Danio rerio: one gene and its partners. The protein of the gene in region 1 binds, or shares a complex with, the protein of each later gene. Links are inferred from orthologs where the notes say so. Each region holds a gene or a part of one and is shown in the gene's direction. Other genes may lie near its edges. The genes, in order: cep290, tmem216, cc2d2a, tmem107l, ahi1, mks1 and tmem17.

The links.
Region 2: cep290 (region 1) and tmem216 share a complex: the UniProt entries of both Homo sapiens proteins name them as parts of the tectonic-like complex. The link is inferred for Danio rerio from reciprocal best matches to the Homo sapiens genes CEP290 and TMEM216.
Region 3: cep290 (region 1) and cc2d2a share a complex: the UniProt entries of both Homo sapiens proteins name them as parts of the tectonic-like complex. The link is inferred for Danio rerio from reciprocal best matches to the Homo sapiens genes CEP290 and CC2D2A.
Region 4: cep290 (region 1) and tmem107l share a complex: the UniProt entries of both Homo sapiens proteins name them as parts of the tectonic-like complex. The link is inferred for Danio rerio from reciprocal best matches to the Homo sapiens genes CEP290 and TMEM107.
Region 5: cep290 (region 1) and ahi1 share a complex: the UniProt entries of both Homo sapiens proteins name them as parts of the tectonic-like complex. The link is inferred for Danio rerio from reciprocal best matches to the Homo sapiens genes CEP290 and AHI1.
Region 6: cep290 (region 1) and mks1 share a complex: the UniProt entries of both Homo sapiens proteins name them as parts of the tectonic-like complex. The link is inferred for Danio rerio from reciprocal best matches to the Homo sapiens genes CEP290 and MKS1.
Region 7: cep290 (region 1) and tmem17 share a complex: the UniProt entries of both Homo sapiens proteins name them as parts of the tectonic-like complex. The link is inferred for Danio rerio from reciprocal best matches to the Homo sapiens genes CEP290 and TMEM17.

The regions. Positions count from the first base shown.
Region 1 is NC_133200.1:18,973,537-18,977,802, reverse strand, and holds the start of cep290 (centrosomal protein of 290 kDa), read left to right. Parts: upstream 1-1,466; 5' UTR 1,467-1,517; intron 1,518-1,831; 5' UTR 1,832-1,905; coding exon 1,906-1,998; intron 1,999-3,446; coding exon 3,447-3,524; intron 3,525-3,692; coding exon 3,693-3,762; intron 3,763-4,266. UniProt on the Homo sapiens protein: Involved in early and late steps in cilia formation. Its association with CCP110 is required for inhibition of primary cilia formation by CCP110.
Region 2 is NC_133189.1:29,311,898-29,316,149, reverse strand, and holds the start of tmem216 (transmembrane protein 216), read left to right. Parts: upstream 1-1,452; 5' UTR 1,453-1,463; coding exon 1,464-1,476; coding exon of another isoform or gene 1,477-1,493; intron 1,494-3,122; coding exon 3,123-3,136; intron 3,137-3,225; coding exon 3,226-3,319; intron 3,320-3,400; coding exon 3,401-3,493; intron 3,494-4,252. UniProt on the Homo sapiens protein: Part of the tectonic-like complex which is required for tissue-specific ciliogenesis and may regulate ciliary membrane composition.
Region 3 is NC_133198.1:2,308,778-2,312,277, forward strand, and holds part of cc2d2a (coiled-coil and C2 domain-containing protein 2A), read left to right. Parts: intron 1-378; coding exon 379-471; intron 472-1,781; coding exon 1,782-2,012; intron 2,013-2,352; coding exon 2,353-2,509; intron 2,510-2,951; coding exon 2,952-3,088; intron 3,089-3,500. UniProt on the Homo sapiens protein: Component of the tectonic-like complex, a complex localized at the transition zone of primary cilia and acting as a barrier that prevents diffusion of transmembrane proteins between the cilia and plasma membranes.
Region 4 is NC_133198.1:31,419,244-31,423,327, reverse strand, and holds the start of tmem107l (transmembrane protein 107 like), read left to right. Parts: upstream 1-1,284; 5' UTR 1,285-1,441; intron 1,442-1,564; 5' UTR 1,565-1,570; coding exon 1,571-1,657; intron 1,658-1,749; coding exon 1,750-1,817; intron 1,818-2,440; coding exon 2,441-2,541; intron 2,542-4,084. UniProt on the Homo sapiens protein: Plays a role in cilia formation and embryonic patterning. Requires for normal Sonic hedgehog (Shh) signaling in the neural tube and acts in combination with GLI2 and GLI3 to pattern ventral and intermediate neuronal cell types.
Region 5 is NC_133192.1:9,401,718-9,405,217, reverse strand, and holds part of ahi1 (jouberin), read left to right. Parts: intron 1-1,490; coding exon 1,491-1,665; intron 1,666-1,768; coding exon 1,769-1,961; intron 1,962-2,041; coding exon 2,042-2,137; intron 2,138-3,426; coding exon 3,427-3,500. UniProt on the Homo sapiens protein: Involved in vesicle trafficking and required for ciliogenesis, formation of primary non-motile cilium, and recruitment of RAB8A to the basal body of primary cilium.
Region 6 is NC_133180.1:61,439,270-61,442,769, reverse strand, and holds part of mks1 (tectonic-like complex member MKS1), read left to right. Parts: intron 1-1,438; coding exon 1,439-1,536; intron 1,537-1,780; coding exon 1,781-1,909; intron 1,910-2,176; coding exon 2,177-2,281; intron 2,282-2,380; coding exon 2,381-2,489; intron 2,490-3,500. UniProt on the Homo sapiens protein: Component of the tectonic-like complex, a complex localized at the transition zone of primary cilia and acting as a barrier that prevents diffusion of transmembrane proteins between the cilia and plasma membranes.
Region 7 is NC_133200.1:30,968,122-30,972,182, forward strand, and holds the start of tmem17 (transmembrane protein 17B), read left to right. Parts: upstream 1-1,261; 5' UTR 1,262-1,337; coding exon 1,338-1,452; intron 1,453-2,082; coding exon 2,083-2,186; intron 2,187-2,296; coding exon 2,297-2,410; intron 2,411-2,485; coding exon 2,486-2,629; intron 2,630-4,061. Other genes in the region: PKc_like domain-containing protein, read right to left, coding at 1,190-1,236. UniProt on the Homo sapiens protein: Transmembrane component of the tectonic-like complex, a complex localized at the transition zone of primary cilia and acting as a barrier that prevents diffusion of transmembrane proteins between the cilia and plasma membranes.

The DNA.
Region 1 (4,266 bases):
GCCTATTAATATGACTTCAAAACAACATCAGACCTATTTAACTGTGACTGTGAACCATGTTGTACTTTGATTGTCATTAGATGTTAAATTAATTTTAAAATTTAGAGTTTGCGAAAAATGATTTTGTGAAATTAAATTACTAAGGAGAGAGTAAGCACCGGAGCACCCGGAGGAAACCCACACCAACACGGGGAGAACATGCAACTCCACACAGAAATGCCAACTAGCCCAGCTGGGACTCGAACCAGCGACCTTCTTGCTGTGAAGCAACAGTGTTCAATTATATTATTTATGTTTAATACATTTTCACTATTTAAGGTTCCTGTAATTTTGATGTGGTTTTATCATTGTGATTGGTTTTGTTTATTTTACATAAAGCTGAAAGAAAATGTTAGAACCTCTAAATGAAAACTAGAATTGATACAGGTAAATGTATTTTTTGTTAAATTATCAAAATGACTACAATTTACTTGAAGCATACTAATGAAGTAACTAATTGAAACATAAAGAAATACTATAACAGTGTTTAGATAATACTAAAACAATAATGAGAAGTAAATGTACTTTGTGAATGTTTTAGACCAGATCGGACATATAAATAAATAAACATACATACAAATACATAATCGTCAATCTTTCAATATTTCATTCATTTCGATGACCTTTTCCATCCCTGGAAAACCTTTTAAAAGCCTCAGAAATTGTATATAACCTTTCTAAAACAAGTTTATATTAGAATACTGCATTACGTCCTTAAGCAGCTACGAAATGCAGCAATAAAAGAGCAGATTAATCGCAGTAATAATGGGATAATCTGTGTGGACTGAGCGGAGCAGAGAGGGCGCAGCCTCACAGATCATATGCTATCAGTTAGCATTTGTTTTACATTCAGATCAATCGATTAATTAACACATTACAGTCAGAAAATAAAACATCGACACAACAACCAAGCGTAAAAAATAAGCTACATTTTAGTGAAAATAAAAAGACAACTGGACACATAAAAGACTGCTGGGTTTAAAGAACAAACATAACTTCAGCTGTGCTTTTAGCATTCACTGGTTTCAGTCATTTCACAATATCTTCTCTGTCAGCAGTCATCGCTAGGATGTAATTAAAGCAACTCACCTTGTCATGTCTGGGGAAAAGCTAAATGAAAAGAGAATATGTTTGTTTATGTTGACTAAAGCAGCAAGTTCGATCCACGGCATTGAATTAACAGAGTCCAACAACTGCTTCCGGGTCAAAATGCCTGGCACAACAAAAGTAGGGAATTACAGAGTAGCCGTTCGCGGATTTTGTGTTTCTGTAATGCCATTTCAAATAACGTATAGACACAGATAGATATATGGTTTTAGTTGTGATTCCCTTATAATGAATGGACCGCGTATAAAGGAAATATTTTTTTTAAAAAGAATCCAAACAGAGACAATTTTACGACGTTACGTTTTACGACTGTTTTCCTTGTTGCCTAGCAGCAGCGGGAGCGCAAGAGGAACCCAAGATGGCTTAATAAGGTCTGAAAACGTTATTTTCAGTGTCTTTAGTTTCACAAATATGTGTAAAAGTTGACATTAAGACGTGTTCAAATTTAGGTTTATGCTAACGAACAAAACCAACCCAAATACGAGCAATTGCATGCATTTCTAATTATCGACATTGTGAGAACTAACTAACGTTATATGTCTGGCTAATATATTTAGCATGGCGTTTTGTCGTGTATTTATTATTCTGCTATGACTCTTTTGTGCTGTGACGGTATATGGTGTTGTTTTCAATGAGAAGTCCGTGTGAAGAAATAAACTACATTCGTTTTGCATGTTGTCTGTAGGTAGAAAAAGACTGGCAATCTCAGCATCAGTTGTTCAGTTCAGCTCTGGGGGACATTTGCAGCTGACCTGAAGAATGCCTGCGGCCGCAGACTGGCGGCTCCTCATGGGAATGGATCCAGAGGATCTGGGGGATGAGGATGAGAAGATCTGTGATTTGATTTTAATGGTAATCTGACACGTTTGAGGCACACTAATTGTGAGGAGTGTAGCTAGATGTTACAACAATCTGCAACTACAATACAACAATCTGGAGTTGCAATTATTAAAGAAACACTTATATATATATATATATATATATATATATATATATATATATATATATATATATATATATATATATATTTTTTTTTTTTTTTTTTTTTTTTTTTATATTTTTTTTTTAATGATCACACACACAATATGTGATCATTAAAAAATGTATTTTAGACTCAACATTCTTGAATAGAATTATGGTTGTGTAAATTAGTGTTTCTGAAACACATTCCTGTGGGACCACCATCATTGCATGTTTTGGGTGTCACACTCATAACAGATAGAGGTAAAGTTGGTTTTATATTTGGATATTGAGACATTCTCATTAGTAATATAATTTAGATAACTTCTTTGCAAATTTTTAATAGAGAAATCTTATTAGCAGCAAATAACTATCAAAGTACAGCATTGTTCACAGTGAATTAGATAGTGTTAATGTTGATTAGGAGTCATACGAATATTCAAAGTAACATGGTAAACAATTTAGGGACTTCTAAATGAACGAATGTGCGAAAAGAAAACCAACTTTACCTCTATCCATTACAGGCCTTTCAGTCTACTAATGAGCTAATGATTTGAATTTGGTGTGTTTGGTTAAGAAAACATGGAAAATGTGCAAGGCTGGTGGTCCTCTTGGAACGTGGTTGAGAAACACTGGTGTATATAACTCATTCTGATATCACCCAATATGTTTTTAGTACAGTGGAGGGTAAGATAAACATAATTAGTAAGGACAAATTACATATTTTTTCTATTTTGTTAAACCGTTGTTTACTGAATAAATTGCATCTGTTAATCAGTTATAACTGCAATTTATTTTTCACAAAATATAAATATGTTGTAAACTATACTGGGAGCTTTATTACTTACACATTTCTATCATTTTAAACGCTACAATTAACAACAGGACTCAGACTGTGCAAAATAAATTAAATTATATGCAATAGTTAAAATGGCACTTTAGACAGTTTTTTCATTTATACATATTTATTTACACATACTATATATATTGGATATATACTTGATCAAAAGAGATTTGGTGTATGTTTTTATATTTATATATTTGTTTGTGTTTTCTGGTTTTATTTTTTTAGTAAATAAATGATAAAATTATATTTAACTACTAGTAATACAAACTATTTAGTGTGAATATGTGAAGTTACAAACTTAATGCTCAGTTATTGTGTGTGTTTGTGGTTGCATGTTCAAAAAAATATTTATTGTTTATTCTTTCAAGCCAAACCACAGAGCATCTCCAGCCTCAGGTCTTGCTTTCAGGCTAACATCCGCTTATCGGAATGTTTAAGGAAGAAAACATTCTTCTTGCAAATTTGTCTGATAATAAATTTCTTTTGCATACAGGTCAAACCACGGGACCTAAAAGCAGATGATTCTGAGAAAATGATTCAACTCTTTAGGATCTCACAAACCCTTCTGAGGGTAGGGCTGATTCATCATTTACGCAATGTTTGCAGCACTGCGTACAGTAGTTATGTAGTAGTTAACATTTACCAGATTTCTTTTAATTATGTTGTATGGTCATTGAATTATCATGAGCATTTGTTGTTATGAATCAGTTAATGTTATTATTTATGTTTGGGTTTTTAGATGAAACTGGATGAAATTAAATGTGCCTATGAGGTTGTAGACAGCGCAGGGGCAGAACAAGCAAGAATTGGTATGTATAATCATTGCTAGGTTTTAAGCATCTCCAGAACAAATCACAGCATGTGAAAACGCAGCATGGAAAACGCAAAAAAAAAAAGAAAGTAGTGATTTCCAAATTTGCTTTGACTTGTATTTCATTGCAGACAATATAAACACAAAATATTTCATGTTTTGTCAGGTCAATTTCAATTTCATTTAAATATGCATCCCTTCCTGTCATTCATACCTGCAACACATTCCAAAAAAGTTGTGACAGGAGCAGTTTAGGGATGATAATCTGGTAAATTGGTTAAATATTGATGTGATTTGAAACAGGTAGTGTCAACAGGTGATTGTAATTATGATCTGGTACAAAAACAGCATCCAAGAAAGGTCTAGTCCTTTAGGAGCAAAGATGGGCGGGGGATCGCCACTTTGAAACAAACACATAAGAAAATTATTAAAATGTTTAAAAACAAGGTCCTCAAAGAAAGATAGGAAGACATTTGAAAATTTCACCTTCAGTGCAAAACAT
Region 2 (4,252 bases), on another chromosome or scaffold:
TGCTGTATTGTTTGTAGTTTAGGCTGACAGCATACAAATACATTATAACCGATTAATTTACCAGACGATATAACAAATAACAACCTGCAAAAGTTAGACAGTAATATACAAATGAAGCACACAAACAAAAATATCGTATCTATCGGTCTACCTAACTGACAACATAACAAATGGCATTCATTATAAACAGGCTACTAAAGAAGATAACAGAATACACAAACTAGAAAAATATGGATTCAAAATGCTAAAGTTAACAAGTCGTCTATACAGAAATCTCCATTTCCATCCAACATTCAGTACAATCAACAGTCTAACCGAAGAAAGACGTGGAAAAACTAATATACTACTCTGAAACGATATGACAGAAAGAAATACTAAAATATTTAGTGTATTCAACCAAAATCTCGTCGAAACAACAAAATATAACCTAAAATTATACTTTAAGAGAGATCTTTACATACCGCTAATGTCAGCGATGGCCAGACACTTAATGAAGGTCACACTAGTTTCTCAACGTCATTTTTCGAACACATTCTTTTTTAGAACGCCACTGACTATGGTAACCACAGCAACGCCACCGCACCGCCATCTTATGAGTATTTAAATAATAGCAACTGTGATTCTCTGTTTGACTAAATTTCGTATGTTCATATTCTATTTTGCATGCATATAAGTCTTATTTTTCAGGCATATAGTAAATTTATCTGTATCTAACCTGTATGTCTAAAAATAAAATATAGTTCAGTTTAAGCCACCAGAGAGCACTGTAGCTTCGGTCCGTGAACGGAGGAGCTGCTATTTTATCGGATAGAAAATACAATAACGCTTATATTTAATAACTGATTATAATTGTATGGTGTGAAAAAAAACCTCCAGTTACCTAGAAGAAAGCTCAAACGTGTAATGTGTATTTTATGTTATAAAAAGATATGTAAATGTATACCTTTATCAAAATACTCTCTTTTTTTACAGTTTTATAACAGTTAACAAAAACAGTTTATAAAAAGTAAAGAATCACACCTTATTATTATAGTACAAATTCTATACAATAATGTAGAATAAAAAATACATTATATCTGAATAGAGGAATTAATAATAGCGAATATGAAATAGTAGTGTGCTATGTATAATAATCATAACTATGAATAACACTAATACAACATTGCGTATACTATTGGCTAAAAGGAACGTATAAAAGGTTATTTATTTCAGTGGCAGTGACTGTTTTGCTGCTTAGTGTGCATATGAATATACAGATTATTATATTTATATGAACCGTAAGCTGTGACCGTTACCATTTTGTTTTGACCTTGTGGACTATAGGTGGAAAATGTGTGTGCTTACTACAGAATGTGTTCATTTCTCGCACTTGTATGTTTTTGATCACTGACCCGTTTGCTTGATTTGATTGGATGGCCGATGTTTGTCTCCGCCTACAGTATGCGTGTCCATGGCAATCTAACATGGCTGCCCACGGTAAGCAAAACGGAAATGTTTTGGTTTTGATAGTAAGTTTATTGGTTCACCTTAGTTGCGCATATTTAACTTAAATAAGTGGGCGACTTTAATAAACCAGACCCAGACGTTTTTGAAGAAACAAGCGGACTAATAGAGCAGAATGTGCACTTTTGTTTAGGGTGGAAAGTAGGCATCACGTAGCCGATTTTAGCCATTTAAAGCACGCCTGTCTTTTTTCCAACAAATAGATGTTATTTTTTTTATTATATTCTTGCATAATGATTAACTGCCTGTTGATCTTACTTCAATGCTTAATCTGTGTGTGTTACTTAACCGCGTGTTCACTAAATGTGTTCTCGCACTTGTCAGTATTGTTTTGTACAAATTGTGCTTGTGGGGCAGCTATTGTCTTCAACACTTTAAATGCAACCTATTTATTTTCATCTTTAAAAAGTCGTGTTTTTGAAAAAACATAGGTCTAATGAGAATTTTTATAGATAACCATATTACTTTGCTAAAAATATTGATAACCACTATTACTAGTTAATTGGGGCAGAATACCCGATTAATTTCAACACTGTGTCTTAAAATGAGCTGTATGAAAATCTTAAAAAGGCTGTTAGTTATAGTGGTAGGATGTGTTTACTTTGCAAAAAATCTAATAATATAAAACTCTATCCATTTAATTTTGTAATATACTTTAAAAAAAGCACCTGACATTACTGTCTTATTAACACTACCAACGATGCTGCTCAGGTATTCTCTGTAGATACAACCAACACATTTTAATGAAATTTAAATCTTTCCTTTGTTCTTTAGTCATTAATGTTGTTCACAAATGCTTCATGTCATTTTAAAGGGATAGTTCACCCAAAAATCAAAGTTCTGTCGTGAGTTGTCCTGGTTTCAAATCTATATGAGTTTTTTTTCCTGTTAAACAGAAAAGTAGATCAGTTAAAGAAAGGTCGAAACCTGTAACCATTGATTTCTGTAGTTTTTTTTTTCCCCGATGGAAGTCAGTGGTTACAGGTTTTCAGGTCTTTTCATATTTTTATGTTTAACAGAAGAAAAATAAAATCTTGTAAAAGTTTTGAACCACTTAAGAGTAAGTAAATAGTGATTACATTTTTTTGGGGGGGATGAACTATGCCTTTAAAAGTACACTGTCCTGTAACTTTGTACGTTTATTTCATTTTCAGACTCATCTTTATTTTATACTAGAGTTTGTAATGTAAGAAAACTTTTAACAAGTTGGCCTGGATTATGGCTTGAAACATTTTAACAAAGACTTTTGAGGAAGAAAATGAGCCACTGACCCAAAACAGCATTGTATATGCATGCCATGTGCAATATAGGAAGCTGGTTTGTGAACTCTGATAGGCAAACTGACTGTAATATTGAATGAATGCATACAAATTCACAAACCAGCACATTCTCACCTGTGAAAGATTTATGCTATCTATATTTACACTATCTTTGGTTATAAAAATGTCAGTGGCAGTGCCCCCCTTTTCTTCTACAAGTAGAGACTGCACAATATTGTGGCATCTTGAAAAACTGCATTACCCATTCCAAGATGGCAGATGCATAAATGAGACTAAAGGACTTTTACTTTTAGACCTATGTTATTTTCACTAATTCAGTATTTATTTTCACTTTTGCAGGAAGACAACCTGTTGTATCTTTTCAAGCTGTTTTTTTTTCTTATTATTTACTCGTTTGTCTTTGTTTATTCTGTTGATATTGCTTCTTAACAAAGTACCTCAGTTGTCGTCCACACCACTGCAGATCCTGTTTCATTTGAACGGCTGGTATTTTGCTGCATTTTTCGTTGCTGAGATTCTTATGTTCATTTACAAAGGTGATGTATGGCCTCTTGAAATATTCTGAAAATTTGTGATTTTATTTGTCAAGTAATCACTGTTTGCTCTGACATTTGTAGGAGTGATACTCCCTTACCCACAAGATAATCTGATATTGGATGTTGTCCTGCTGCTCCTCTTCTCTGGCCTTGAAACACTCAGACTTTTCTATGGTCAGTGCCTTATAAAGTTGTTTAATCTGCTTTAGTTTGTAGAATCGTTCAGTTAGTGCACTGAAATTATGCTCAGTCAGAACTTCAGAAGACCTTGTGAAGCAGTGTTTGACGATGCTCAAAATTTAGCAATAAATAAAGTGTGCATTAGTCGGGCCTGCTTCTTCAGCAGTGCTAGTTCTAGAAGTGTTTTTTTCTTCCCCATAGGACTTTATAAAAATGTTTTTTGAAAAGTGCTACAGATTTTTGAGCTGATCATTCCGTCAATTAATTAACTTACTCAAACGTGTTTTGTTACAGTTTTTATGTTATCTTCTTTGGGATTATTGAATAATATGTAAATGTCTAGACGATTTGAGATACTATATAAAACTATAAACACAATAACTTGTCTATAGAGAACAGGAATTTGACGTAACTGTGTAATGCATTCTGGGTGTTTAGCACAAGAAAGCCTGATTCCCATTGATCTCTACTGATTTTTTGTATCATATATATACACTCATCGGCAATAAACAGGAAGTGTTTGTACTACAGGTAATGAAGAAAATCATATATGCAGATGTTTTCTTGCTGCAGCTTGGGTAACTTTTAAGATTGTTACTTTTACTTGAGTATAAATTTTGTATACTCTACCCACCTCTGAAAGTAATACTGGTAATAATTTTCAACATCTTTTAGTGGATGCATTATATGAGATGCCTACCGCAGCTTAGTTTTAGGGATAGTAGAATAAATCAATGCACTGTGAATCAAGAA
Region 3 (3,500 bases), on another chromosome or scaffold:
ATACAGCTTAAAGTGTCATTTAAAAGCTTAACTAAGTTAATTAGGTTAACTAGGCAGGTTAGGGGAATTAGGGAAATCATTGTATATTGATGGTTTGTTCTGTAGATCATCAAGGAAAAATTGTGTTTAAAAAATTAAAAACTGCTTTTATTCTAGCCAAAATAAAACAAATAAGACTTTCTCCAGAAGAAAAAATATTATCTGACATACTGTGAAAATTTCCTGCTCTGTTAAACATCATTTGAAAAATATTCAAAAAAGAAGAAAGAAATTTGAAGGGGCGAATAATTCTGAATTCAACTGTATACATTTCTTCTAATGAATGTGAAGTCAAGTTTCAGTGTTTAAAACGAGGTCTGATCTGCTCACCTCCTCTAGATGGATCCAGATCTGCGGGCTGATGAGGACTCCTCTTTTGCTGCCAGGCTGAAGTTTCGTGATGCGGCCAGACGTGCGGTCAAAGACAAGCAGGTGAGAAGCTCCCTAAAGGTCTTGTTATATATGAAGAGGTATAAATGCTCCATGTTCATGATTGCCTTTAAGGCCGTACTCACACTAGGTACATTTGCCTCGAACCAGGCCAAAGCACGCTTGTCCCCCCTCCCGTCTCTTTCGACGGCCCGCACTCACACCACAATCGGGCCTCGGCACGCTTACGTCATCGCTGCTGCGCTGTTCAGTGAGAAGCGCTCTCTCACTCACTCAGCAGCACAGTGGAGATTTCTCTGGTTATATCGTTTCAGTCGGTTTGATATGCAGTGACATGCAGTCAAATATTTCGCCAAACAGTCCTTAGGGATGCGGTGACACGCAGTCAGATATTTCGCCGAACAGATCCGCCACTTTTGGCACTCATAAACAATCATAAAGCCCTCGTGCTGCACGAAAATGGAGGTTTGCTGAAGGTGCAGCTGTCGTGCAGTGAGGGGTTTGTGTATTTAATAAGCTACGGCAGTTTGCGTTCACTGAACAGTAAGAATTAATAATAAATCCATATAAAAACAGCCCCTTAAAAGTCACGTCTCACTTTCAATTTCGGGCTTTGGTGCGTTTTGCACTCACACACAAGCGTACCGTGCCAAAGTCCAAGCGAACCACGCTCAGGCCCACCGCTTCCAACCGGGTCAGGGCCGGCCAAGTGAACCGTGCTTGAGCCCGATTCAGCCCACTCACACTTCTCAAACGATTCGGGAAACGGGCCTGGGCACGGTACGGATGGCATAGTGTGAGTAGTTCACCCAAAAATGAAAATGAAATAAAGTTATGAAATGGACAACATTTCTGATGCTCTCGGCTGCTCTGAACACTTTCTCCGTGCCACTTTAAATCCCAATATGCACTGGGATTCTATATGAATGAGCTGAAAACGCTCGCTGAAATGTGCTAGCGAGATTACGTCGTTTCTCTTCTGCGTCAGATAGAGGTTCGGCATTCAGCAGCTTCTGGAAGACAGTGATTTAAATGTATAATTAAAAAAATATTTGAAATATTCCTGTTACAAAAACACAAATCCACGTTTATAATATGTGTGTTAAACACTTGGTGGCATATAGTTTGCTCCCAGATTGCTGAACTTTTGAAAGCTTAAAAAAAAAGTGCCACAACCAAACACTATTACACAGCATGAAGATCCAGAATAAATGGTAAAACTACTCTGACTGTGTTCATCTGACAGAAGAAAATCATATTCATCCAGGGGAGGAAATAATGTGGTGATTTTCATTGTTTGTGTGACCCCATCCTGAGATCCTGACACTGAAGTGTGTCTGTCTGCTGATCAGGCTGAGGCTGGTTTGCCGACCGCCGAAGAGGCCTACAACTTCTTCACCTTCAACTTTGACCCGGAGCCTGAACAGCAGCGCCAGAAGAAGAAAAGACGCTCCAGGAGAAGAGAGGCAGAGGAGGAAGAAGAGGGAGACTCAGAAGGAGAAGTAGAAGGGGAGGATGAAGAAGGAGAGGAAGTAGGAGAGCTGGAGAGACAGAATGAAGGAGAGGAAGAGTCTGAAGCCAGGGTGACTTATCGTGCTTATCGTGTTTTTAAGCCCCACACTGCAAAAAACTGCTTTTCTTACTTAGATTTTTTTGTCTTGTTTCTAGTCCAAATATCTAAAAGTTCTTAAATCAAGAAGCATTTTCTACACAAGCAAAACATATTGTCTTGTTTTAAGAAATAATACGCCAAAATGAAGTGAGTTTTTCCTTAAATCAAGCTAAATAATCTGCCAATAGGGTGAGCAAAAAAATCTTATCACAAATCACGAAAAACACGATTATTTTGCTCACCCCATTGGCAAATTGTTTTGCTTGAAAATTGATATCCACTCATTTTAATCTGATTCAATCCCTGTCTAGGATGAAGACGACCCATTAGTCGGAGACGAGGAGGATTTGTTCATCATTGACCAATCAGCACAGGACTTCCTGGAAGTGAGGCGAGCGGAGTATGTTGACTACAGCAGGCGACTGCAGAGGGAGCGAGACACGCTGTTTGTTCCCAGCATGAGGCCAGGTACAGAAACCATCACTAAAAGCTGCTCACATCATCTGTATTAGTCACGAAAGTACATGAAATCAAATCTAACCATATTAATGTTGTTAGCTAATATTGCTAGTTTTGTGGTGAACAAATCATCTGTGTTGGTCATTAAGAAAAAAATGGTTTGCCCTTGTAATATTTAATTGATCTTTAATTAGTCTGTAAATGCACTTCCTGTGTGTTTTCAGTTAAATTCCCAGATTATTCATGTCTGATATATTGGGGGTGTGGCTAGCATGCTTAACCACGCCCCCTCCACTTGGGTTTGTTTTAATCCAGGAGTGTAATACTTAGTTAAACCACTGGGTGTCGAACTTGCACCTTTAATAATGGTGATAAATTTGCTCGTTGTAATTGTGATGATATATATTTTCATACAGTTACATCTGTAATCTGTGTTTAATGTGTCACCCAGTGCCAGCCTCCAGTAAGCTGGCGGAGAACACACGTCCACGTTTCCTGGAGGAGGAGGGTCTGTATGTGGGGGAGAGGCCGCACGTCTGCCTGACCAATCTCAACATATTAGAGAATCGAATACTGAAGCAGGCCGAGGTAATTTAGGCCCTGTCCACACTGGTATTCTCAAATCACACTTTTATTCGACGCGGTTTTGTTCACTCGAAAACACAGTGTCAGGTGACTGAACCTGAAACATTCTGAAAACTCCAGCCAGGGTGTAGATTTCCTGAAACTCTGGGTAGAGGGTGGTCATGTGGATGCTACAACTAGAGTTTTTACCTCATAATGTTTTCTCCTTCACACCAAATCACTGACACTGCATCGTCTCAAAGTCATGTTGATCAGCTGGTCTGTCTATGAGCTGACATACGAGTGATCTGCTAATACAGTGGTTCCCAAACTTTTTTCATCAAATACCACCTCAGAAAAAATTGTCCCCCCAAGTACCACAGTATGACCAGTATTGAAATACAGTAGTGCAGTAGGCCTAATTAAGCAACTACAG
Region 4 (4,084 bases), on another chromosome or scaffold:
ATTTATTAAAAATATATCACACCCTGCAAATAAAATGGCAAATGTTGTCACCACAATGTAAAAAAAAAAGTCTTCCTAAAACTGTCTATTCTCAATTTCTTAACTCTAAGGTTAATATTTTACTGCCTTCCAGAACAGCAAATGCCCTTGATAGCAAACCACTGAGTTAGTATTTATTTATTATTTACTAGACCAACGACGTCTGGCTGTAGGCTACAGTAAAAACTAATGATTCATTTATTTGTTGATTTGTGAATGCTGAAAACCTGCAACCATTGACATCCATATAGGAAAAACAAATGCTATGGAAGTTACAGGTTTCCAACTTTCTTTAAAGTATTGCCTTTATCGCTTAACAGAAGAAAGAAACTCACAAAGATTTACAACCACTTGAATAAACAGCAAACACGTTTTTATATTTGGGTGAGCTATCCTTTTAACTTATAGGGCTCTTATTACACACGTTTTATGCACTTACTATAATACCAATAAATTATGCATAATCACATGCAAAAACCCATAACCATAGTAAGTACTCCATATCGTTAATTAATGCCACTCAGTACTTTATGCTATAGATACACTGTAAAAATGAGACCGTAAAACAAAAAACAACTTAGTTTGTTTAAATGCATTTCATTTCGAGATTAGCACTGTCGCTTCACAGCAAGAAGGTTGCTGGTTCGAGTCCCGGCTGACATTTCTGCAGATGCTTTTTTCCCTGTGTTTGCTTGGGTTTCCTCCGGGTACTCCGGTTTCCCCCACAGTCCAAGGACATGTGCTATAGGTGAATTGAATAAACTAAATTGGCCATAGTATATGAGTTTGAATGAGTGTGTATGGATTTTCCCAGTGCTGGGTTGCAGCTGGAAGGGCATCCGCTGTGTAAAACATATGCTGGATAAGTTGGCAGTTCATTCCGCTGTGTCGACCACTGATAAATAAAGAGACTAAGCTGAAGGAAAATGAATGACTGAATAAAAGGCTTGTTTAAGACACCTCGAACACCTTGATAGTGCTCCCTATTGACCACAATAATGAAGTCTTTGAAATAAATTTTTTCCAATTGTCTTACTACTTGTCTGCGCTGCCATGTTCCAGTTCACCATTTTCAAGTTATTTCACCTTTAGTACCTGCTCTCAGCCGAAGGAAAATGAATGAATGAACATTTTGAGACATTGTAAAACCAAGTTGAGGACCAGTCAGAAAGCGACTCCTTCCAGCAGGTGACAGCATTGAGCTACTTGTTGGTCTGTTTTGACCATAACCCATTCGCCAAATAGAAGAAGAGTGTTGTCGTAGCAACCCGAAGCTTATATCGAGCGATAACTGTCCTCAAGCTTGATAAACTTATACGCATAGTAGCCTTATATACAGTGCTATATCTACTTTACTGCTCACCATTTGAAAAATCAGGTTTTAACAACTAACGCAAAGCTGGTACGTATACCATTTTGATATACAACCTCACGTTTTGTGAAGATGAACACGTTAAACCTTTAACTGTTAGTCATCCACTTGCACAGTTCAATCTAAGTTATTATGTCTTTCTTCTCTGTCTAGTGTTCAATGTCGGTGGTCAGCAGTCTGGTGCCTGCCCGTTTCCTCACTCTCATCGCGCACCTTGTAATAGTGATAATCATTTTCTGGTCTCGGGTAAGAAGTGTTCTTGTGTGTGTAATTGTTATTTTTATATCACACAACATCACTGCAGCCAGCTGTGTGTTTAAATGTGGAATGACCTACAGGAGTACAGTGTCCGAGCCTGTCTACCACTCGACTACACTAATGAAGAGTACACAGCAGAGGACACACGGTTGGGAAACACACTTTCTCTGTTCTGTATTGCTTCACAGTGGCTAAATGATAATATAATTATTTCGGTCATGTAGTGAGACTGAATAGTATTTTTTGATTCAACTTTATTGTCATTATACATGTACAAGGCAACAAAATGCAGTTGGGGTATACCTAGGAATGCGATAGCATCAAGTGCATGATATATGCACAGTGCTCAGCAAATGAGTACACCCCTTTGAAACAAAACAGATTTATTAAACAGATATATTTATTCAAATAATATTTTAGTCATCAAACATATTTAGAAATTGAAAGATATTACAATTACATTCAAGCAAAATAATCCAAAAAAGAAAAGAAATTACAACCTGCAAGATTTCAACTAAAATAGTCTTTTTTTTTTTCATTCCGCAATACAGAATGTATTTTAATTGTTAATTAAATGTACCTTTTAATTTATGAAACAAAATACTTTAAAATCTTTTGATGGCTTTTCTTGTTTGACCCATTTACAGCATATTATTGTTTGACTGATAGTAAATTGTACATTATTTATATGTAGATGTGAATAATGTTATGGAGTCAGATATAGTAAGTCCTGTTCATGACGCTGTCCTAACCATTGTTTTTGGAATACAGGCTTGTGGTGGCATTATCCGTGACTCTTGGCCTGTTAGCCATCGAGTTGGTTGGGTTTCTCTGTGGAATCTCTATGTTCAACAACAACCAAGCTCTTCTGTGTATCCTTACCAGTAGCACATCACCACTATAGGTTATATATATACTGTAGGTGTTGATGCATATAAATTGTGTATTATTTTCTTATATTTTCATGGATCGGAGTCAAATCTTCAACTTATGATTAACGCAAACAGCTCCCATATGTGTGTCTAGTACTAGTTTCTTACACATCTCATCCAAAGTCTTCTGTTTTGTTCAGATTTTTGACAGTAAATTACCTGAAGTCATGGGTCGTAAAAAATTATATGGAGCTGTAATGTGGTCAAGACCTACCTGGTATATAAAGTCAATCTAGGGCCATATATACAGTTGAAGTCAGAATTATTAGCCCTTTTGAATTATTACCCCCCTGTTTATTTTTTCCCCAATTTCTTTTAACGGAAAGTAGATTTTTTTCAACACATTTCTGAACATAATAGTTTTAATAACTTATTTCTAATAACTGATTTATTTTAGCTTTGCCATAATGACAGTAAATAATATTTGACTAGATATTTTTTAAGACACTTCTATACAGCTTAAAGTGACATTTAAAGGCTTAACTAGGTTAACTGGTTTAACTAGGCAGGATAGGGTAATTAGGCAAGTTATTGTATAACCATGGTTTGTTCTGTAGACTATCGAAACAATATATAGCTTAAAGAGCAATAATTTTGACCTTAAAATGGTGTTTAAAAAAAAAAATGCTTTTATCCTAACCGAAATAAAACAAATAAGACTTTCTCCAGAAGAAAAAACCCTTTTGGAAAAATAATAATTCAAAGGGGGGCTAATAATTCGGACTTCAACTGTACGTGCAAAATAAAATAAAACTTTGCAAACAACAAATAAAGTATTGAGCAAAAAATAAATAAATGTAAATGAAAAAAATAAAAAATACATTTTGCTAACAAAAATAAAGAACTGCAAAGGGGAAAATTGAGAAATAAAAATGAAATTTAAACAAAAAAGGAACTGCAAATAAACATCAAGCAGTAAAAAAACAAAACAAAAAGATTTGCAATAATCAAAAAAAAACTATATATATTTGCAAAACATTTTTATAGCATTGCTTTTACAAAACCTGCCCGGTCAGTTGCAATTGTCATTTTAATTAGATTTTAGTCAACTGTGAGTTTGTGATGCTGTTTTCACTTTGTACTTCACGTTTCTGCGCCTTTCACTTTGTGGCCCTGATTTGACAAGGGGACTGAGTCAAGGGAACTTAGAGGTTTACCTAAGGCCTGCCGTAAACGCCCAAGTTCCCTTGACTCCACCCCTTTGTCAAATCAAAATGAGCATTGCAGTTGACTGGATGGGTTAGGTCAAGGCTAAAAATGTTTTGCAAATATTTATATATTTTTTTTTTCAGTTCTTTTTTTGTTTGCAAATGTAATTTTTATTTTTCAAAAATAAATTTTCCTTTGAATTTTTAAATTTTTGTTAGCAAAAACTATTTTTATTTCTGAAAAACAAGTTTTTGCTTGGGCGAGGCAGTGGCGCAGTAGGTAGTGCTGTCGCCTCACAGCAAGAAGGTCGCTGGGTCGCTGGTTCGAACCTCGG
Region 5 (3,500 bases), on another chromosome or scaffold:
GTTATAATAATAGTAATAATAATAATAATAAAATATTAATATTAATATTATTAAAACAGCTCAGGGATGAGCTTTTTTGAATTAAGGGTTGGAAATGAATGCTTGTCTTGTTTTTTGATCCGATTAATCGAAAAAATTATTGATAGATTACTCGTTATTAAAATAATTGTTAATTGCAGACCTAATGTACAGTTGAAGTCAAAATGATTAGCCCTCTTGTCAAATGTTTTTTCTTCTTCAAATATTTTCCAAATGATGTTTAACAGAGCAAGGAATGTTTCACAGTATTTCCTATAATATTTTTTCTTCTAGAGAAAGTTTTACTTGTTTTATTTTGGCTAGAATAAAAACAGTTTTAATGTTTTATGGTCAATATTATTAGCAATTATTATTTCAATTGTCTACTGAACAAACCATTAATATATAATAATTTGCCTAATTACCCTAAACTGCCTAATTACCGAGACCCGGAAGGGACGTAATGTATATTTTTGTAAGTTTTTGCGTTCCCTTGCAAAGATGTTTTGCGTTCCCTCAAAAAACTTGTTCTACAAACACTTCTTGTTCGCTTTATACATGTCAAGCCTCCCATTTTTGCCAGGATTCTCCCGTATTTTACCATTCTGTCCCACTATTATCCTATCATTAAGTATTTTCCCAATTTTCTCCCATATTTTTACTCTTGAAAGCACGCTGAAATTAATAAAAAAAGGTCTGCATTCACTTTCTGTCCATTAAAGCTGTGCGTCGATCATTGCTCTTCATTTACAACCTCTGAATCAGCGAATGCATGTATATGTGCCTACTGACAGATGCAGCTCCGTATGATAAACGGATAAACGCAGAGGGAACGCAAAAACTTAAAAAATATATTTTTCTATCATTCCATTTTTTTCATGTCTCCATAGCTAATTAACCTAGTCAAGCCTTTAAATTGCATTTTAAGCTAAACATTAGTATCTTGAAAAAGAGCTAGTAAAGTATTATTTACTGTCATTATGCAAAGATAAGATAAATCGATTATTAGAAATGAGTTATTAAAACTGTTATGTTTAGAAATGTGTTGAAAAATCTTTCTGTTAAACAGGAACTTTGGAAAAAATATACAGGGAGCTAATAATTCTGGAGGGCTAATAATTCTGACTATAACTGTATAAGTGTATGTATATCGTCATCTTGGAATTATAAGGTTCTATCTGCGTTCTGAATGATTTTGAGATATTGAGCTTCAAAGTCTTTGCATTCCAAAGCAAACAGTCTGTGTGTAACATTTGTTTTTTGTTTTTTATAAAAAGTCTTAAAATGTAAACAACTTATAAAAACATCCCAAATTATAAATAGGTTGTCATTTAATAAGAATATGTCAATAACTTAATTTTAACAAAAATGTCAGATAGAACCTTATAATTCTAAGATGACGATATGCTTCCTTTATGCACTTTTTTGCACATGTGATTTGTGGGTTTGAATGCGATGGTTGATTCTGGTAGTGCCTGTTGAGGAGGAGCAGACAGAAGAAAAACCAGCCTTTGATGACAGTTTGGTCCTGGGAGTTTATATCCACAGAACAGACAAGCTGAAGACCGACCTGATGGTGTCTCACCCCATGGTCAAAGTTCATGTGGTTGATGAGGTCACTGGACAGTATGTCAAGAAGGAGGACAGGTTTGGACTTTTCTTTCTTCGTTTTTTCACTAAAACCAAAACCTGCTAGAAGGCATTTGGATCTTAGGTTTCAAACCCGTATCGTGTTTCCTTCTGCTTACAGCCATCGTCATGTTTCATCCTTCTATGAGCAAGAAAACATTGAGCACATCCTGCCCATTATAACTCAACCATTTGACTTCAAGAAACACAAAACAACAGTTCCAGAGTGGGAGGAACAGATCATCTTCAATGAGCGATTCGGATATTTTCTACAAGATGACGACGAGAGTCCACGTGTGATGCTGCTTTTTGAGGTTTGTTAAAAGTTTAGGATTACATTTGCATTGTCAAAGCAAAGAATTGAATAAGGATCGCAGTTTACATGCTGTTACAGATTCTGGATTTCATCAGTATGGAGGAGGCTCGAACAAACGTCTCAGTTGATCGACATGAAAGAGGTTTCAGAAAGATTGCTTGGGCTTTTTTGAAGGTACCAGACTTTACTGTAGTTCCTGTTATTTTTTTTATATTTAATAATTTCATGCTTGTTTATTTGATTATTAGCTCCATAGCTGTTTTAATTTTAATTTTATGTAGGTTAATTCAACCTCTCCCTATTTAAACACACCTGAATCAACTCATCATAACATAAGAAGAGACTTCAAAACCTGAAGTTAATGGGTCAGATAAGGAAGACATCCAAAATATGTACCAGCACGAGTGGTCTTTATTGAACCTAAAAGAGCACATGTCACTCCACTACTCATCCGTTTGCACTGACTGCCAGTCGCATCAAATTCAAAGCTCTGATGTTTGCTTACAAAGCGATTTCTGGCTGCGCCCCTTCTTATCTGCTCTCACTTCTGCAGATTTATGTGCCCTCCAGAAACTTGTGTTCTGTGAATGAATGTCGCCTCGTGGTTCCATCTCAAAGAGGGAAGAAATCACTTTCCCGAACTCTCGCATTCAATCTGCCCAGTTGGTGGAATGAACTCCCTAACTGCATCAGAACGGCAGAGTCACTCACTGTCTTCAAAAAACAACTTAAAAGTCAACTATTTAGTCTCCACTTTCCTTACTAATCTGCAATTCCCTCTCTGACCTCTCCACTAACTACATAAAAAAAAAATACTACTGTTTTGTTTCTTACACTTTCTTTGCATACCTGAAACTTGCCTACAGCACTTACTTATTGTTGCTTTTATGGTTGTGTAAATTGCTTCCTTGTCCTTATTCGTAAGTCGCTTTGGATAAAAGCATCTGCTAACCCTGCTGAAAAATCCAGCTTAAACCAGCCTAGGCTGGTTGGCTGATTTTAGCCGGTTGACCAGGCTGGTTTTAGAGGGGTTTTGGCCATTTCCAGGCTGGTCTCCAGCTATTTCCAGCCTGGTCTTGGCTGGTCAGGCTGGAAAATGACCAGCCAAATCCAGCTAAAACCAGCTTGACCAGCCTGGTTTAAGCTGGACATAGCTGGTTTTGTCTGGACTCCCAGCTTGGCTAGGGTGGTCAAGCTGGTTTTAGCTGGTCATCTCCTAGCCTGACCAGCTAAGAGCAGGCTGGAAACCAGCCTGGAAGTGGCCAAAACCCCTCTAAAACCAGGCTGGTCAACCAGCTAAAACCAGCCAACCAGCCTAGGCTGGTTTAAGCTGGATTTTTCAGCAGGGAAATGACTAAATGTAAATGTACTGTTGATGTGTCTCTAGGAACAGGGTTGGGAAACACTGGGTTAACTGTATCCTTTTTCAGATGGTCATTGTGTTCTTCAAATGTTTCTTCTAGCTTGTAGGAACCAATGGGGTGTTGAACATTGACACCAAACTGCGTCTGCAGCTTTACTGCCCTCCTCCACGAGC
Region 6 (3,500 bases), on another chromosome or scaffold:
AAATTGGAACAGTGTAGTTCAGTTTGTAGTGTTTAAGTTCAGTTCAGTTTAGCTCCATTCAGTGTGGTTTAATAATCACTATTGAGGGTCCAAACACTGTAGAGCAAATCCATCGAAGTGTAGCTCTACCAATTCCAAACCATGCAAGTTAGTGGTGATAGCGGAGAGGGGAAAAAAAGTGAAGAAAAAAAACCTTGAGAGAAATCAGACTCATTTGGGCATGACCATTTTAATTTCTCTGCTGGATAAACGTCTTGTGCAGAGGCTAGACGATGAGCCTCAGCGAAGACTCGTCCGTCCCTGAAGCGTCACAAGAATCAGTCTCATGCTCTCCATGACCACTACAGAAGCAGCTCAGGATACGGCCTGGTCCAGGGTATGGAAACCTTGGGATCATCTCGTCTCTGTTCTTGGATCGGATCAGTGACTCTGGATAGTCTGAGGGCCTTGGGAAGAGTATCCCTAGGTGGAAATAGAGAAATAAAGAAAATAATAACGTAGCTGCTGTTTATAGTGTATATAAACAAGATGCAGAAACCTTTTGAAAATCGCTAAGTAATGCACTGAGTGTATGCTTTACTAAACAGATAGATCTTTAATCTAGTTTTGAACTGTGAGAGTTTGTCTGAGCCTCTGACATTATCAGGAAGGCTATTCCAGAGTTTAGGAGCCATAACGGAGAAAGCTCGACCACCTTTACTCAACTTTGCTATTCTAGGTACTACCAGAAGCCCTGAGTTTTAAGATCTTAAAGAGCAAGTTGGATTGTAGCGAGACAGAAGGTTGGTTAGATTAACAGGAGCTAGATTATTTAAAGCTTTATATGTAAGAAGCAATATTTTGAATTCAATACGAAACCTACAGTAACAGGCACCCAGTGTATGGACGATAAAATTGGGGTGATATGATCATATTTTCTAGACCTGGTAAGAACTCTGACAGCTGCATTTTGTACTAGCTGAAGTTTGTTAATAGAGGATGCTGGGCAGCTAGCAAACAGTGCATTACAGTAGTCCAGCCTGAAGTCATAAAAGCATTAATATTTTTGACATTTCCAAATATTGTCAGTTAGGACTTTCTGATTCTAGGGGTGTTTTATGGGCTAATAAATGAGCATATAAAACTTACTGCATAATTTTTTAACCTACCTAAGCCACATACCTACTATGTAGATATAAGATAACATGAGACTCTGAAATGAAGTTGAATAAATACTTTTGATATACATTAAAACCGAAAATATAATATAAAATAAAATAATAATTATTTTCATAGCAAAAGTTCTCAAGTTTCTTATTAACAAAACAATTATGAAACTATTTTGGTAAAATAAGACTTGGACATGATTTTGAGCAGTGTGGTTAGATTGACCATAGCTACATCAATCTTGGCTACATCTGTTTGTACAATTATCTAAAGTTGCATTTTTTTTTGGCAGCAAGCTCAGAGTCTGGTGATTCCAGCTCAGCCTACACCTACTTTCCTAGCAGAACGCATGGCCAATGTAAGACACAGGAGACAAGAGAGGCGTCCCGCGTAAGTATAAAAAAACCAATTTGTTTTCTGTAAAGAGTTGATCACATTTTGGACATTTTAGAGGTTTACTGGTACACAAATAATTTTTTGATTTAATTATTAATATTATCATTCATTTATTCATTTTCCTTTGGCTTAGCCCCTGATTTTTCAGAGCTAACCACAGTGGAATGAAACACCAATTACTCCGGCATTATTATTATTTAATTTTTATTTATTTATTATTATTTTGTTTGTTATATAGAGAGTCGAATGTTCCCAAGTCCCGTTTAATCACATGGGAACCTTCAGAGGAGTTTGTGAAGAACAGTCACATCATCAACACGCCAGTGCAGACCATGTACATCATGGCTGATCTTGGACCTACAGGAAAGTATGTGAGACAATGCTTGCCATTTAAAGAAGCCATATCATACAATTTTCTAGAATTTAGTTGACCTGAGGGGCCACTTATTACACTACTTAAGGGCTTTGCTTTCACACTGTGTAGTTTAAAGTCACCATTTTCCTCTTCAGCTGTAAGACTTTTGTCCACATACCCTGTATATGTCACACAACAGACACTTGCATGTGAGTTATAGTCATAGATTGGTGTATTTTCTATAGAACAACACAATCAACTCACTTAACTATTTTACAGGTTGGGCCTGAAAGAGAATGAATATGTTTTATGCACAATAAAAGCGGACGGCAATGGAGTAATCTCAATAAAACCAGACTTTAACAACAACAGAGGAGCCTACAGGCAAGACCCACCTCTGTTCTCTTTCTATTCACTTTTCTGGAGAAGTACATGTTTGAATTCACCGTGATTACAGATGTTTCTGACTATCATTTACACCAGGCTGGAAACAGAGGGGGAGAAGAGGGAAGTGTGGAGGTTGTATCTGGAGAACGCCTCATCAGACATTCAAGCAGAGGAGAAAGACAGAGAGCAGCGCATGTACCGAGATGTAAGTACTATAATATGCATTGATTGTCAAAATGCATGTAATATTATGACTTTAGGTTCTGGTCAATATTTTCAATTTCATTTTATGAAGTTATGAGATGCTAAAACTGAAAAAAAGAGCTAAGTAGACATATAAAAATAAACTCATAACAGCAAATAATTAATTACCTTAAATAACTGAAAATATAGAATAATTTTATATTGTATTTTTATTATTTTTATAAAAGATTTAATTGTTTTAAGCTGAACATTTTAAAATAATTGAAAACAATAATTAATAATAATAATAATACCTTTTATTAATAGGCGCCTTTCAAAGCACTCAAAGACACCACCTTACAATATGTCACAAGCACATCATAAAATACAAGACAGAAGAATAATAAACATAATATTAAACCAGAAAATCATTAAAAGCAATCCTGAACAGAAAAGCTTTTACCTGTGATTTAAAATTGGAAGTAGAGTCCACATGACGAATATCTAACGACAGGGAATTCCATAACTGTGGTGCTATGCAGCAAAAAAGCTCTGCCTCCGAATTACTTCATCTTAAAATTTGGAAATGATAACATTTCAGCTGTAGAAGATGTTTGTGAGCGCCGAGGAGTGTACCAGTGTAGAAGATCAGAGAGGTAATCGGGTGCCAGGTTGTGAAGATCTCTGTAAGTTAATAGAGGAATTTTATACTGTACATGACAAAGAAGAGGAAGCCAATGCAAGTGAAAGAGACTTGTTGTAATACTACAACACTATATATTCATTTATTCATTCATTTTCTTTTCGGCTTAGTCCCTTTTTTAATCTGGGGTCACCTCAGTGGATTGAACCGCCAACTTGATGGTGTTTTACACAGTGGATGCCCTTCCAGCTGCAACCCATCACTGGGAAGCATTCTTCCTTCTTGCTGTGAGGGGATTGTGCTACCCACTGTGCCACTGCTGCCTTAACACTATATAAATAATGCTAAAATAAGATGGTTTTGAAGTATTTGCACTACTAGTCTATTTGC
Region 7 (4,061 bases), about 12 Mb from region 1:
TCACAGGCTACAGCAAATCATTTTATTAAAACCATGTCAACAGTAGGCCTATAAATAGTAAAAAAAAATGCAATATTAATATTCTAAAAGTTAATATAAATTCATGGTGTATAATATTAAATTAAACGTGTAATATTTATTTTTCCATTGAAGATGAGGCAGAAGCAGGTTCAAAAAATGAGGGAGACCACCGAGCATGAGCTAAATCACACAGGTACAGGTAAGACTGTTAATCTGGAAGGGATATGCTAGAGTGTCATACAAAGATAGATGGACATTTAAATAATTTAAATATTGTAAATGCTTTGTTATTCATTCTAAGATGAAACTCCCTCCGAGTCAACTCAGCAAAGTAAAGGTGATGGAGACAGAAAATGTTCAGATTGTCCATCCAACAGTAAATAGTTTCTGTTATTATCCGCAATGTGTAAATGTGAATCACATACATGTAAGATGAGCTTATCAAGATCTTTCAGGACAAAAAAAGTTTTGTTTTTAAAGGTACAGGTAAATATAAAAATGTAAAATGGTAAATAGTTCTGAAATTATTACAGAGTGTACTGTTTTTTCTTTTAATTGTACTTTTACAACAACTAGAAAATTTGTATAAGCAAGAACCCACCCACTTAGTGCCCCTGCCCCTCAAAATGTCTGTGCACGGCCCTGAATTGGTGGTTCATTCTGCTGTGGTGACCCCGGATTAATAAAGGGACTAAACCGAAAAGAAAATGAATGAATGAACCTTGGGTTGCAAAAAAAATATATCTTTTCATATTGTTTCTCAAAAGTGAAGAACCCAAAAAGAACCTTCTTTAAAATAAAGCTCTAAATTCTAATAGAAACCCTGGATCTCAAGACTGAATAAACTGAACATTGAGTAGTGGGCAGGGTTTTATTTTAGTTCTCATACTTGACGTCATCAGAGAAGGACCCCCACACCAGAGCAGAATCAAATAGGAGGTTTTTGATTAAAGATTACCTACAATAAAAATGATCAGCGACTTTACTTAATTGTTCACCTTAACACTACCAATGTCCTCTAGCAAAATAAACATTGTACATTTTTTTACTTCATGCTGACTTAAAGTGATAGTTTAAGCCAGGAATATTAATATTATTCTTTATACACATTGCAGGATAAAACTCAGCATAATGTATCTTATTTCGCCATCATACAAAGCAAGCAAACCTGTTAAGTGCAGCTGAGCAGTGTGTGTGAGTGAGAGTGAAAAACATCCCCCGGTGGTCACAGCTGGACCATCACAACCGCTCAAGAAGATCCGCCTTCGTTGCTACCATAGACTGGTTGCTACGGACACACGTCTGCTTCTCCCAACATGGACCTGCCTGAACCCATCAGGCGACGGCTTGGAGATTTCTCCAGAACCGTGTTTGTGGACCAAAGCCGTACACAACCCTCTTTCGAAGAGCACGCAAATTTTCTAGACCAAAGTAAGTGTGTTTGAGCTTCCATTTGATCTGCTACGTGAACGTTAGCTGTAGGGCTAATTCATCTGGTTAGCCGAGTTGTACGATTTCATGTAGCTTTTGCTAGTAAACATATTTTTTTCTGACGTCATATGCAGATATAATAATGCTTTATGGTAGCATTAATCTTAAAAGGAAGTTGATAACATTTGGCGTTATTCCTGTCTGGGACCTACGAAACTACGTTGCGTTACCAAAAAGCATAATAAATGGTTCGTTTGAATCGGATCTTCTTAATGGACCTTTTCATAAAACGTGATTAGTCAAAAAAACTACTTAAAGTAAGGCAACTAGATGATTTAATAGGTTGACGGAATCGAAATATTTTGGATATCTTTAACCAAGTTTAGTTAGGTAAAACAGCCAAGTGAACAAAGTTACTCATTTAAAACGAACTGTTCAAAAGAACCGATTCGCCAAATGTTATTTTACTCCATCCTATACAGGCTCCGAACACTGATTTATGTATTATTATTATACATATTATATATCTGTGGTTCCGAATCAGGTTATTTAGGATGCCCAAGATTAGTAAAAATGAACTTTATTCAAAGCTAATTTGTCATTTTAATTTTATGCACTATTATTTCTCAGATAAGGATGTAGTATCGAGTCTCCCTCTTCAGATGTCACTCTACTTTAACATGTGGTTCTTTCCTTTCTGGTGGATCAGTGAGGTTGTGATGCTTGACCTAAAGGTGATTCTCGTCTTTGTCATTTTTAACATTTCAATATGATCTTATGGCTGTTTAATCATATTACTGTTGTTAGATATTACAGCTAATAATCATTGTGCTTTTTCTTCTAGTACTCAGCCCTTGCAGATTATTACAAGTTCATCCTGATCACAATTCTCATTGTAATGACCCTGATTGAGGCTATTAGGCTGTATTTGGGCAATGCTGGAAATCTGCAAGAAAAGGTCAATCTTAATTTAATGTAATATCATGTAATATCCTATAATTGGTCCCATTATGCATCTGTTGTTTTTCAGTAGGTTCCAGAATTGGCTGGATTTTGGCTTCTGACTTTTCTACTTCAGTTTCCTCTGATTTTGTTCCAGCTCTTCAATGAGGCTGTTCTTGTTCAACCACTAGAGAGAGGAGTTCATATAATACTGGCCTTATTTATCTTTGCTGAGGTATCTATCTGTCTATCTTACAACTATTTTAAGTGACTATGTAGAATTTTTAACTCCTCATTGTTCAGAATTTGAAGGGATTTCAGTTGTGTACCAACAGAACAGTGTTTTATAAAACACTCAAGACACTTTGACAAAAAGCCATTATTTTGTGCAAAACACAGTGATTAGAGTTTAAGAACAGCAATGATATTGGTTGTAACATAAAGATTACAACTTTAATTTCCAAAGCCTACAACTGCTTTTGTCTCGATTGATTTTACTACATCTTCAGTACAGATTTTCACTCAGGAGGGAAGCACGAAAGCCATATTTTTATGCAGATTTGAATGAAACACTCCACTTCAGGAGGAACAGGCTCAACTTATAAGAGTTAAACAGAAAAGATTTGCCATTTTTTAATCCTTTTAGATGATCACTGGGTCTGGTGAAAACCCTTTTAGCTTCGCATAAATCATTAAATTAGATTAGACCATTAGCATCTTGCTCCAAAAATACAAATAATAACTGGAGATAATTTTTCTATTTAGAGCTTGACACTTTTCTAGTCACATTGTATACTAATGCTGTTCACACCAGACGTGGAAGGAGCGTCAAGCGCAAGTGATATGTTGATATGGCTAAGAACTATACTCTCATTTTGGTGTAATAATCAAGGGACTAGCTGCCATACCAAGGCTGCAGCAGGGACAATGTTAATATGTAGCACTGTTATCTAGATGGGAAATATTTTTTAGAATAAGAGTATAGTTCCTAGTACATAATGTAACTATAGAAGAGTGTGCGTGTATGTATGTATGTATGTATATATATATATATATATATATATATATATATATATATATATATATATATATGTGTATATATATATATATATATATATATATATATATATATATATATATATATATATATTTATATATAAATATAAATTATCTTGTGTAACTTATATAACTTTAAGTTTTTGTGCAAGAGGCTAATGGTCTAATCTGATTCAATGATTTATGCTAAGCTAAGCTAAAAGTGCTCACACCAGACCTGAAGATCAACAGAATTGAATAAAAAATGCTAAAACTCAACTGTTTAAACTTATTTTTTTTTAAATGTTGAGCGTTTCATTTAAGGCTATGATCTTAAACTTTTTTGATGAGGATGATCTGTTTAAATTTAATTTTGAATACATTGCCTGGTCTTTCTTTTTTGTCACTTCTCCGATTTCTTCTTTTAGCATTTAGACGCAGTACTTACAACCTGGGGTGCTTTTCCGAAAACAATTGTTAGCAAACCAAGGTCACAAGTTCCATCGTTACAAAGATAGTTTGTTGATTTGGCGGTTCCCAAATCCGTCGTTCCATTGAACATTCGCAAACTGCATCACAAACTTGTAAGCTTACAACTAAACCTCTAGGGCTGTAGTTAGATGCATTGCTCC